Linked DNA regions of Oryzias latipes. The protein of the gene in region 1 purifies or fractionates together with the protein of each later gene. This does not show direct contact. Links are inferred from orthologs where the notes say so. Each region holds a gene or a part of one and is shown in the gene's direction. Other genes may lie near its edges.

What was found.
Region 2: the proteins of csnk1d (region 1) and per1 purify together in Homo sapiens (affinity purification with mass spectrometry; 4 studies listed by BioGRID and IntAct, counting the BioPlex papers as one, with this or other methods). This does not show direct contact. The link is inferred for Oryzias latipes from reciprocal best matches to the Homo sapiens genes CSNK1D and PER1.

The regions. Positions count from the first base shown.
Region 1 is NC_019866.2:24,955,862-24,961,595, reverse strand, and holds the start of csnk1d (casein kinase I), read left to right. Parts: upstream 1-2,071; 5' UTR 2,072-2,463; coding exon 2,464-2,539; exon of another isoform or gene 2,540-5,734. Other genes in the region: engase (cytosolic endo-beta-N-acetylglucosaminidase), read right to left, coding at 82-161. UniProt on the Homo sapiens protein: Essential serine/threonine-protein kinase that regulates diverse cellular growth and survival processes including Wnt signaling, DNA repair and circadian rhythms. It can phosphorylate a large number of proteins.
Region 2 is NC_019876.2:15,134,663-15,140,404, reverse strand, and holds the start of per1 (period circadian protein homolog 1), read left to right. Parts: upstream 1-2,353; coding exon 2,354-2,718; intron 2,719-3,183; coding exon 3,184-3,437; intron 3,438-3,524; coding exon 3,525-3,646; intron 3,647-3,719; coding exon 3,720-3,921; intron 3,922-4,000; coding exon 4,001-4,195; intron 4,196-4,764; coding exon 4,765-4,843; intron 4,844-5,095; coding exon 5,096-5,202; intron 5,203-5,604; coding exon 5,605-5,742. UniProt on the Homo sapiens protein: Transcriptional repressor which forms a core component of the circadian clock.

The DNA.
Region 1 (5,734 bases):
CCTAGTTTCTCGGAGCTTCAAGGTGAAAGTTAAAGGCAAACAACAGGAAGACAGTAAGAAACAGCGTTTCAGAAACCTTACTTGACGCGTTTTGCTTCCGTCTGTCTTTCGTCGGAATTTTTTGCTGCAGATTTTCCGGTTTCCTTCGCAGTTTCTGCCATTTCTCTTCATTCAGCGAGAAAAACCGGAAAGAAAGCCGGGACAGGAAGTAGACTCGACGTGTTTCCGGTTTTTCCTTCAGAATAAAAGCAGGAAAGAAGAGGTTCACTTTTACTGTGAAGAACATTTAGTGAAAACGAAAACGCACCGTTTTGAGGGGAAAAAACTGCATATAAACAAAAATCCTAAACTTTGCTGGAAAAAAAACATAATCATGATTTTAAAAGTGTTTCTAAGTTCTTTGTTGTCGTTTTTTTCTTTCATTTCAATTACAGTGAGCTTTTTAACACCATCCTTTTAATGTATAATTTTAATTTTTGACATTAGAGGTGGCTGGTCTGGTTTTGGAGGGGTTTTAAAGAAAACTTTATTTTTAATTGGAGTTTAATTAGCTTCATGTTAAATACAATTTAAACTGAAACTTAATGTAATTCTAATAACGCAGTATGAGTCATAGGTGTTATGTACTCATCTGAATTTACTTTTTACACTTTTTTTTCTTTTTTTGTTGGTCACTTGACTCATTAACCTTTGAGGCTTAAGGTATTGTAAAGAACTATGTAGAAGGTTAACCCTGTTTATTAACATGCATTTCCAGATTCTGATGTAAAATGCTACAGCTCATTCATGCAAGGCAACATGACAGGATGAGCTTCTTTGACTGTAGGTGACGTGTGGAAGACTAGGAGTGTCTTATAGTACAATCTGTGATCAATTTCAGTATAAATAAAAAAGAACATCTAATAAATAGGATTTCTAATCAAGTAATTCATGAACATTTTAATAAAATCTATTACAAATGTATAAAAAATGCAGCCAGTAAAAGCAATGGGATTTAGGAAAATCAATCGCCTCATTAAACCAACAAAAGTAAAAAGATTTTCTAACCTGAAGTAGGAATAGTGTGGTTTGGTTGTCTTTTCAGAAAACGAGAGCAGAGCTGTGGTTTGGATGAAGAAGTCTGCAGGGACAGAGAAGAATGTTGGAGATCTTCAGAACAACCGGGAGACAAGAGAAGAGAAGATGGAGGTGGGACTACGCCAAGGATCAGCTTTGAGCGCCTTCTTGTTTCTTTGGTGATGGACAGACTGAGAGACGAGGTTAGACACACAAGCCTCTTAGTATGGCAACTCCCAGCAGTGGTTTAATATAAGTAGAGTTTATTCTGCTAATGGAAGTTCACCTCAGTTAAAAAATCTTAAAATAAATGCCAACATTTATTCAAATCGTTTGTATTTTTCTTCAAAGTCAGAGAGCCACAATAGTGGAATAAAAGCGCCGCGTGAGGCTCACGGTGGAGACCCCCGGTTCAGACACAGAGTCAGGAGGAAGAGCTGGAGGCAGCAGAGAGGAAGATGCTGAGGTTCTCTGTGGGACCAGGATGGATCAGGAATGGATCCATCAGAGGATCGGATCACAGATGTTCTGGAGATCCAAGCAGATGGAGATGTTTAAGAGGAAGAACAGTGATGATGATGGTGAAAGGATGCTGAGGCTGGAGCTGCCAGGAAAGAGAGGAAGACCAAAGAGGAGGGTCATGGATGGAGAGGAGGATGCAGAGAAGGTTGGACGGAGTCCGATGATTTTCTTTGGCGCCCCCTAAAGGCAGCAGCAGAATGAAAAAGAAGAAGCAGTAAAAAAAAAATTCAAATGCATTTTCAGATCAAAATATTTATTTATCAATGTAACAAAAATAGTTCCTGTTTTAATTTCAAAGTGTGATTACAGAATACTTTAATCTGTATAATCTGTGTATCAATTGTTGCATTAAAATCATATTTTGTCATCTCTATAATTATTTCAGTGTCTTATATTCAAACCGCTGTTTTGCTGCTGTCTGCTTGGAACTCGACACCTTTCAAACTGCCCCCCCCCCCCCGCTCCTCTGGACCGGAAGTGACGTCAGAGCGGAGCAGATTGCTGAGTTCTGCTCACAGCAGCGCCACAGGACGCGGGAGACCCACAGCGACGCCAGACTCTGTCCAAAATCCGTTGTCATCCTCGGAAATTTAGCTTTTATCGACCTAAAAGACATCACGAGCATAACGTGGACACTTTAAGCTTTCTAGAAAGCGCTGTATTGTCACGATATGACGTTTGTAACATTTTAAAAGCGAAGGCGAAAGATTGTTGTTGGAAGCCGTCTTCATCCGGATACATACTGCTCACCGGGGAACGGATTTTGGGCAGAAACCCGCCGCCGCTGCTCGTTCCCGCTTTTCTTTGTTTTTTATTTGATTTACTGCCAAGTGCTTTAGGTCTGAACGTTTTCAGAGAGAGCTGGTTGACCACAGAACCTTCACCATGGAGTTAAGAGTTGGAAACCGATACAGACTGGGCAGAAAAATTGGAAGCGGCTCGTTTGGAGACATCTACCTGGGTATGTTGTGACGGAAACGCCGTGGTCTGGTCCCTACCTGCCGATCAGGGGAGTCGGGCGGCTGGTCTGACTTCTTTCCGGGGTGTCCTGAACGGCTCAGCGACGATCAGCTGTTAGCAGCATTAGCTAAGAGGCTAGCAGACTCGGCTGTTGTCTGAAGCAGCATTTAGTCCGAGATGTTCAGAATTCTTCCTGTTAAACTCTGAAGATTTGGTCTTTGACGTTTTGTGACGGCTTAGCGTACCGATGGTGGAACTGGACCGGTTATAAGGACGCAGTTCTGGGACGAGGCCCTGTCTGTCCGTCTGTCCGTCTGTCCGTCTGTCTGTCTGTCTGTGTGTTTCTGAAGGACTCAGAAACCGAGGCTTCATCATGTCCTTAAACGAAACACTTCCGTTCATTTATGCATGTGTTCTTGTGTTTCTGTTGTGGATTTACCTGAAACACATTTACTCTATAAGGAAGCGTCCTGTCTGTCTGTCCAGATATAATCAGGAAGGCCCAACGTCCACCAGGCAAAGGTTTCTTTACATCCAGCTGTCTGTCTGTTTCCTGATCCCATCTATGACATCGTATTGTTTGCTAATGGTTACAGTCTGGGATTGGATTATGTTTCTAGTTGTACTTGTATTCAGCAGCAACAGCATAGCTGGAGTCTGACATTCAGCTCTTAACAATAAAACTGTGTAAATAAAAAAACAATCCTGAGTTTTGGATCGAGACCATTTTCACAGCTGAAGATCTCCACTCAGAAAAGACATTACGATATAATGTGGACGTATCTGACTGTCAGTTATTCTCCTCCACACATTTGACTGTATCCAAATAAAATCAGATGGGTGTTGGAGAAGCAGCACATGACCGTGACTTTCATACGTTGGCATTTCAAAGCTCCTTCCGTTTACGTCTGGTTCCTGCTTTTTAGTGACTCCAGAACATTTCACAGTGAGGTCAAGGAAAAGCCTCCATGGAGGTAAAAATGTTGTTGTGACTGTTGACTCCACCGTAGACATGTGGAGGTCATTCCAGAAACCTTCTCAGTAAGAAGTTTATCCGTTTGAGCCTTTATGTGTGGCCCTTTTGATTTGCAGACATTAGTAATGTTCAGCGTTTATGATTTCCCCTTCATAGTACCAGACAACAAATCTGCAAAGAGGAACAGGCAGTAAACAAAGAGCCACAGCGGATTATCTGCAGGAAGAAGCTGACATGTCTTGTTTTTATTTCTGCGGTGATGATGATCAGCAGCCAATCAGCACACTTCTACCTTAGTTGTACTTCTGTTCTGAGGGCAATGTTGCCTTTTGTATCAGGAACATGCTGCTGAAGATCTAGTGTGGGTGGTTCTATAGAAAACCCCCACTGGCTTTGCTGCTCTTCTGTTGTGTTATGGAGCTATAGTAATGGGCTGTTAGCTTTCAGCCCAGTTCAGGTGTGAACACAGCAGAGTTTTGACGGATTCTTTCAAACGTTACACACCTCACTTGATGAGCTCAAACTGATGACTATCATTAAAGTGTAATAACACGTGTGGATATCATGGTTTAACTACAAACTCCATTAAATACACCAGGCTGCCATCAGCCTGTGAAGGCGGGCTCTGCTTGAGGTTAATCCACTGAAAACACACCTTAACGTTGGAAGAGGACAGGGCTCTGCAGGCAGAAACAGGACCCAGGAGAGTAAATAATTGTATCCAGCCCTCCTTCCACGTGACCGCCGGGCCTGATGGCGTGGAGCCAGCTGCTTGCATAACCACTTTATGGTTTTTGTCTTCTGCCCCCAGAGAGATGACTAACCTGACCTCCGGGTTTAAAAACGTTTAAAAATGCATCTCTATAATCTTCATTCTTTCATAAAGCTCTAGATTTGAACTAGAACCAACAGCCTGATTCTGCCTTTTGTGACAGCAGCAGGGCATGCTGGGAAGTGAAGTTCTTAACTATGCATGCATTTTTCTGGTGAGTTGTAGTTGGATAGCTTTTGGTCTGTGGTGACTGATTATTAGTTATAAAGCTGGTGTCTCTTTGAATTCCCAGCTACTTTAATGGTTTTACCTGTTGACATGTTTACTGCATAACGACGCTTCACACTGAACAACTGATTACCAGCTTTGGATCACATTTTTTTAATAACTAGAATATTTTAAAGTGCTTCACATACAAGTATGCACTGTGTACTGAGGGAGGGGCTGTTATGTCCTCATACTACACCCCATTAGACCATTTCTCTGCCATCAATCAAAATATTCCTTCTGTTATATTTACACTGGGTACATCTAGGGTGTCCCGTGTACGGCTTGTCCTCCAGATATCCTTGTCCTACCTTCAGCTGAATATCTGGATCAAATCTATCAATGTAAATCCATAAGATCAGAAAAGAGGCAGGACGGCACTGTAAGAACATTAGTTTGTTTTGGAGGAGTGGTTGTCTCAACACGACGTTCATGCCAGACTAAAACAGCTCAATAGAAGTCACTCTGCTATCGTGCTTTATAGAATAATATGATAGAGTACATGTAGTTATTGCCTTGTATCTTTTCAGACTTTGAGTTTTGGTCTCCAAGTGAAATTAGATCAGAACTAGTGTGTCAGAGAAGCCGACTTATGTAATCTGGTTTGAGAAATGAAATGCTTGAACAATGGAGTCTTTCTGAACCAACTGTAAACGTGTGTTTTGTAACGTCAACCTGCAGCCGGAGCCTGTAACCCGTCTGACAGGAGGGAGCCTGTCCGACAGATACCGTCTCTGTGGTATGCTGGTAACATGAGAATGTTCTGCAGGGAGGGGTTTGTTTAACGGCGAGGCAGAGCGCTAACGGCCAGCGGGCTCGTCACACGCACTGACTCACCGATCACCATCACTGATGACGGTTTACGGCTGTTTCTGTGGTCAAACTGACGTCACCGTGACGACGAGTGCTGTGCTTCCTCACGGTGGTCACTTTTCTTTTGCAATTTGGGGGAGGGTCTCTGAAGACCTTGTTTAGCGTGCCCTTTCACCTTTTCAATAATGGCATCCGGAGCAGGGGGGGGGTCTCCTGTGTGCCTCACGTTCCCCCCATGTTTACTGCATACGTTCCCGTCGGTCACATGTCATCGTCTGCAGCTCCAGGTTTTGGTCTTGATCTAATCAAGAACGTCTTCTGTGGACGTTGACCGTTTCTGTCGTCACAGTGAAGAAATGTCTCTTTTT
Region 2 (5,742 bases), on another chromosome or scaffold:
AAAGTCTGTTTGTTTTTTTGTTTCCGTTTCAAACCACTCTTTCTTGTTTTTGGTCATCATTCGCCTTGATGTCATCAAGTGGATGACACTGGTTATCTTGGTTACTGAAATGAGATTTTCAGTAAGGCTGCAGTTGCTTTTTTTATTTTTATTTTTATAAAGGTTGCTGTTTTTAGAAAAAGTTCTTGGTTTTGTGTGCAGATCATTTCTGAAACCATCAGCAGTTGTTTTCTTGTTGGAGCTGGTGGGCTGCCATCCTGCTGGTGTTCTGTTTTTGGCCCGTGCTCCGTAGGTCCAATAAAGCTAGAATTCCCATCCTAATCCAGAATAACCCCATACAGGTCAGGGTCCAACTTCTCTTTTTGTTTGTGCAAAAACAAGGTACACAAAACACTTTGACCTTTCTGGCTGACGGAGCGCAGACACATGAGGATTTGGACGAGAGATTAAGACGTGTTGGGGTGTGTGGAGCGTTTTTTGCATGCAGCCTCATGGTGATTCATTCTGACGCTGACAGAGAAACCAAATTGCATAACCGGCGGCGAACGCTTTCCCCTAATCTGAGGGCTTGGGAGGGAAACACGCAGGGTGGTTTTGCTGTTTCTGGTGGTTTTTTTGAGTATCGGCTGTCCTCTCCTGGTTCAAGGCCGTGGTGATGGAGAAACCTTAAGGTCCCACTCTGATGGAAAACGGGGTTTTGGCATGTTTAGTTGGGCATTTTTTTGATGATGGAGGACGTACAGAAAGTTGAGCTTAAAATCTGAATGTTTCTCGATTCAAATCATTGTGAGTCAGGAGCAGACGACAAAATGCCGTTTGAAAAACATCAGATTTGTGACGCAGCAAATACGCTCAAGCTCCCTGCTGCAGTCCCGCCCACAACTCAAAGGCAAATTTCTGAGGAACTACTGCCGCTCTGCAGAAACTAGGTCTTAGAAAATGAGTGATTTAGGCTAAAAACATCATTGACAACACTTTAACAATGGATCAAAACCTGACCGGAGTGGTCAAGTCTGGAGGTTTTGAGCTCATCTCCTCGCTTTGCGCCCACTGTCATTAACCACGCAAGTGCACATGAACGCCATGCCCCCTTCCATCAGGGTTTTTTTTGTATGTGTGCAAGGGTGCAGCGTCCATCTGACCAAACACGACGCTCATTAGCATTTCAGCTGCAGGTGGCCTTTTTGCATGATTGCATGAAATGAAGTCAAAAGCCTGCAGTTGATCCCTTGGCTCCATGGAAACCGGCTCCTGAAGTTATTTATGAGCCGCGGTCGTCATGCCTTTCGCAGGTGGCCAGTCCGAATCTGTCTTTTGGGGGGGGGGAGCTGCGTCAGGGCTTGAAGCTGAGACAGATTCAGCCACCATACCTGTCAGAGGGCGGGCAGCGGGGGCCCTTTGGGGTGGCCAGGTGGATGAAGTTGACAGGATTTGCGACTTAGCAGAAGTCTGCGTCGTCTCTGGGTTGCGTCTGTTGGTCTTTAGGAGATTAAGCGCCATCACTGCAGCCGGGTCAATAAATAGCTGGAGACTTTTACTTGCGTAGGTTGTGGTTATAAATGTACAAATGGAGTTAATTTGACATGTAAAGCCTGATGCATCAGCGCTCTGTGATTCGGATTTGCCCCCCTCCTCCTGTTGCGTCCACATTTATTTAGTCTGCGGGGGTAAAAATGGGACTGTGCTATGACGACCAACCTGTGCAAGTTCGGGTGTTCTGTAATCCCACCTGTGCGCTGAAAGATGAGGCGGCGACTTTCAGATCACCAGCGCAGAGGACCAGAGCTGCCGCCGCGCTGCGCTGCACATCTCAGGGCCGCGTCCCCCCCTCCCACTGAGGCCAGCGCGAGAAACCCACAACTCCCCCTTTCTTGGCTTGAAGTCCTTGAGCGGCGGAGGCGACTGCAGGTGTTTTTCTAATCTGCTCTCTCCCTTTCTCCTTCATTTCAGGTGGCCTTTGGCGCCCAGAGCAACACTTCTCTGGAGGCCCTGAATCGGAGCACGAGAAACGTTGTTTTGCTGCCTTTCTCACTCTGCCTCTTCATCGCTTGGTCCCATCTGTTGAGGCGCACGCCAAGGCTGTTTCATAACCAGAGATTTGTCTCGAGTGACACTTTTTGATCCGGATCGTCCAGGATTCTGGATTCTCTGTTTGCCTTCTTTGTTTTGCTCTTTTAGTAAAACCTGTAAGGAGGTTTTTTTTTGTTTTCCAAGAAGAAAAACAACTTTTTGCTTAATTTTCCTTCAATTTTCCCAAATCGGCTTCAACTATGGTTTACTTGTGTTCACATAGTAGTCCCACTTGAACAGAAGCCAATCTAGTTCCGCTGCGCCAGCCTCGTCCTACACTAGTATGAGTTATGATGGCTGCACATCAACGCCCAGCAGCAGCACTCAGGGGAGAGTGTCGGGTGCCCACCTCAAAGACCAGGACGGAGACCCCCAGGGCCTGAGCCGGCAGAAGGCCGACCAGCCGGGCCCCCATGGCTCCCCACAGGAGCGGGGACACGCAGACGACGGGGTGTCGTCCATGGAAGGAGGGTCCAGGTCCGGAGACCAGCGGGGACCGAGCTCGGACGAGATGGAGGGGATGTCCAGCGGGAACGACTCCGGCGAGAGGGAGAGCCACCCGCGCTCCTGCGGACACCAGTCCTCACGGAGCTCCCACAGCTCCTCAAACGGGAAGGACTCCGGCTTGATGCTGGAGAGCAACAAGAGGTAGGAGCTTGACCTATGACCCTCCCGTTTCCTGTCAACTCACACAAAATATCTTTTTGAAACTTTAAGAAGTTCCCGCCTGCTTTAGGTACCACTGTTCCGCTTCATTTTTCTGAATACATTTTTTCCATTGTGAAAAAAAAAGCCTATTAAAAACACCGTTTTCATTGACGCACCACAACAGATTCACGGGTTTGTGCTCAACCACTTCCAGAAGCAACGTGAATGGCAGAAACCTCAGGGTTCTTTTGTGGAGTCGGAAGTTGAGTCAAAGCGAATCGTATAATCTGCTGGCGTAGCATCAATGCGATGTTTCGGATCAAAACACTTTATCTCCTGCAACTGAAACTGCCTTCTGCAGCACATAGTCAGATGTTTCCAGGAAGCGCCAGTCTGATCTGATTTACCTTTGGTATTTGTCTGCAACAACCTCCTGAAAGAATGTTTGGTCCTTCCTCCTTTCAGCTCCAACTCTCAGAGCCTGTCCCCCCCCGGGGGCTCCCTGGCCTACAGCCTGCTGTCCACCAGCTCTGAGCACGACCCCCCCTCCACCTCCGGCTGCAGCAGCGACCAGTCGGCGAGGCTCCAGACGCAGAAGGAGCTCATGAAGGCCATCAAGGAGCTGAAGCTCCGGCTGCCGGCCGAGCGCAAGGGCAAAGGTCACTCCAGCACTCTGAGCGCGCTCAAATACGCTCTCCAGTGCGTCCGACAAGTCCGAGGTACCCCCCCCCCCCCTTTTTTTTTTTTTTATTCTTTTAAAATTCACCCAATGGTGTTCGTGCATCTGCTGACATGCTTATCTGCAGCCAATAAGGAGTACTACCACCAGTGGAGTGTGGAGGAGTGTCATGGCTGCAGCCTGGACTTGTCTGCCTTCACGGTTGAAGAGCTCGACAACATCACCTCAGAGTACACCCTGAAAAACACGGTGAGTGTGCAGGCCGCACCCCTAAACGCAGCTTTACGTCCGGCGCTGACGTCCCCCGCGTCTCCTGTTGCAGGACACCTTCACCATGGCCGTGTCCTTCCTGTCGGGGAGAGTCGTGTACGTGTCGCCGCAGGGCTCGTCCCTGCTGCGCTGCAAGCCCGAGTGTCTGCAGGGGACTATTTTTTCCGAGCTCCTGGCTCCCCAAGACGTCAGCACCTTCTACAGCAGCACGGCGCCCTGCCGCCTGCCCCCCTGGGCTTCCTGCATCGGCTCGGGTGAGTGTCGGGAGGGCATTGCGGCGTCTCTACTCCCCCCTCTGTATCGTCCACTGACTTGTCTGCGCTCCCCCCGCAGCCTCCCCTCCCGCCGACTGCACTCAGGAGAAGTCCATGTTCTGTCGGATCAGCGCCGACCGCGTACAGGGCGGGGAAATGCGCTACTACTCCTTCCGCCTGACGCCCTACCAGCTCACCCTCCGAGATTCGGACGCCGCAGAGCCGCAGCCCTGCTGCCTGCTCATCGCAGAGAGAGTCCACTCAGGATACGAAGGTATTGGAAAACTTTCCTTTGATGTTTTGACCCAAGGAGGCACTACAACCAATACCTCTAAACCCCGCCCCCTTTTAGACAGACTGAAGTTTTAACACAAAGATTTTGTAAGAAGGGCAACCCACTTCTCCCCTTTTTATATCTGATTGAACAGTCGGTTTAATCCAAAACAGTTTTGCAAGTTGTAAGAGACAGTGAGTAAGTTCTTGTTGCTAGGATACGATGGCGTTCACCGGCAGATGCAATGATTCAAGGGTAAATTTAGAAATGACAGAAAAAAGCTGCTCAGGCCCAGAGTGCCCCTAAACACAGAAGGAGGTCATACTTTTCCATTTATTAATATATTTAAATCATCGAGTAAAGGGTAAACAATATTAGCTTGTTACCGTGGCAACCGTGCCCGACAGAGGGAGTGAGATTGGACAGATTGCATCTCTCTGGGTTCATCTAGAACAGCAGGTTTCTCTGAATATGAATAAAGTACACACACACAAAAAATAGGTGCAAACAGAATGTCTCTCATGTATGGATGCTGTGCTATTGCTCATGTCTGCCTCGTTTCCCATCAGCCCCCCGGATCCCCCCGGACAAAAGGATCTTCACCACCAGCCACACTCCCAGCTGCCTCTTCCAGGAAGTTGACGAGAGGTCAGTTACCCTGACTCTGTTGCCACGGTTACGGCTGTGTTGCAATCTATCCGGAGAGTTTGGAACTGGCAAACGGCATGAGGCAACCTGTTCAGCCAAATGTGTTTGTTTGTCTTGTTTTTAAAGATCGCTGAACATCCGTGTTCTTTCACCGGAAAAATGTCAAAAACTTGTTAAACTCAGATTATTCCAGATTATTCTAATGAGACAAAACTCCATGTCATTTAAGCGATTACTTATCTGATTTTTCAGAGCTGTGCCGCTGTTGGGTTACCTGCCCCAAGACCTGGTGGGGACCCCAATCCTGCTCTACATCCACCCGGAGGATCGACCCACCATGGTCGCCATCCACGAAAAGAGTGAGTCGCTTTATTAGCCCCTTCTGGCTGTAGCCATGTGACCGGCTCACAAAAAACACGACGGAACCAAGTTTTAACTCCGGAGGTGTTGCCGGCGACATCTAAATACCGTAATCTTTGGACCGTTTGCCCTGACGTGGAGAAAAGCGGTTTTTCATATCAGATATGCAGCACTTCTCTGCTGTTGCATATCGGTCCACAGCTGCTTTTCTCCACTTCAGAAGCTTCCGGGAGTTTGTCCGTTTACGTCCGTAAACGGCAGAAAAGTTGCTGTAGTGGAAAGAATGTCGACACAGGCGCTAAAGTTCCGGTGTTAAACGGTGAGATGTGTCTGGACCCGCGCCCATCTCCAGAAAACCCTGAAGTACTGTGTCTGAACGCTGCACTGTGGTCTGTCTTTAGTCTTTCAGTTCGCAGGGCAGCCGTTTGACTATTCACCTTTACGGATGTGCGCCCGCAACGGCGAGTATCTGACCATCGACACCAGCTGGTCGTCCTTCGTGAATCCCTGGAGCAGAAAGGTGGCTTTCGTCATCGGAC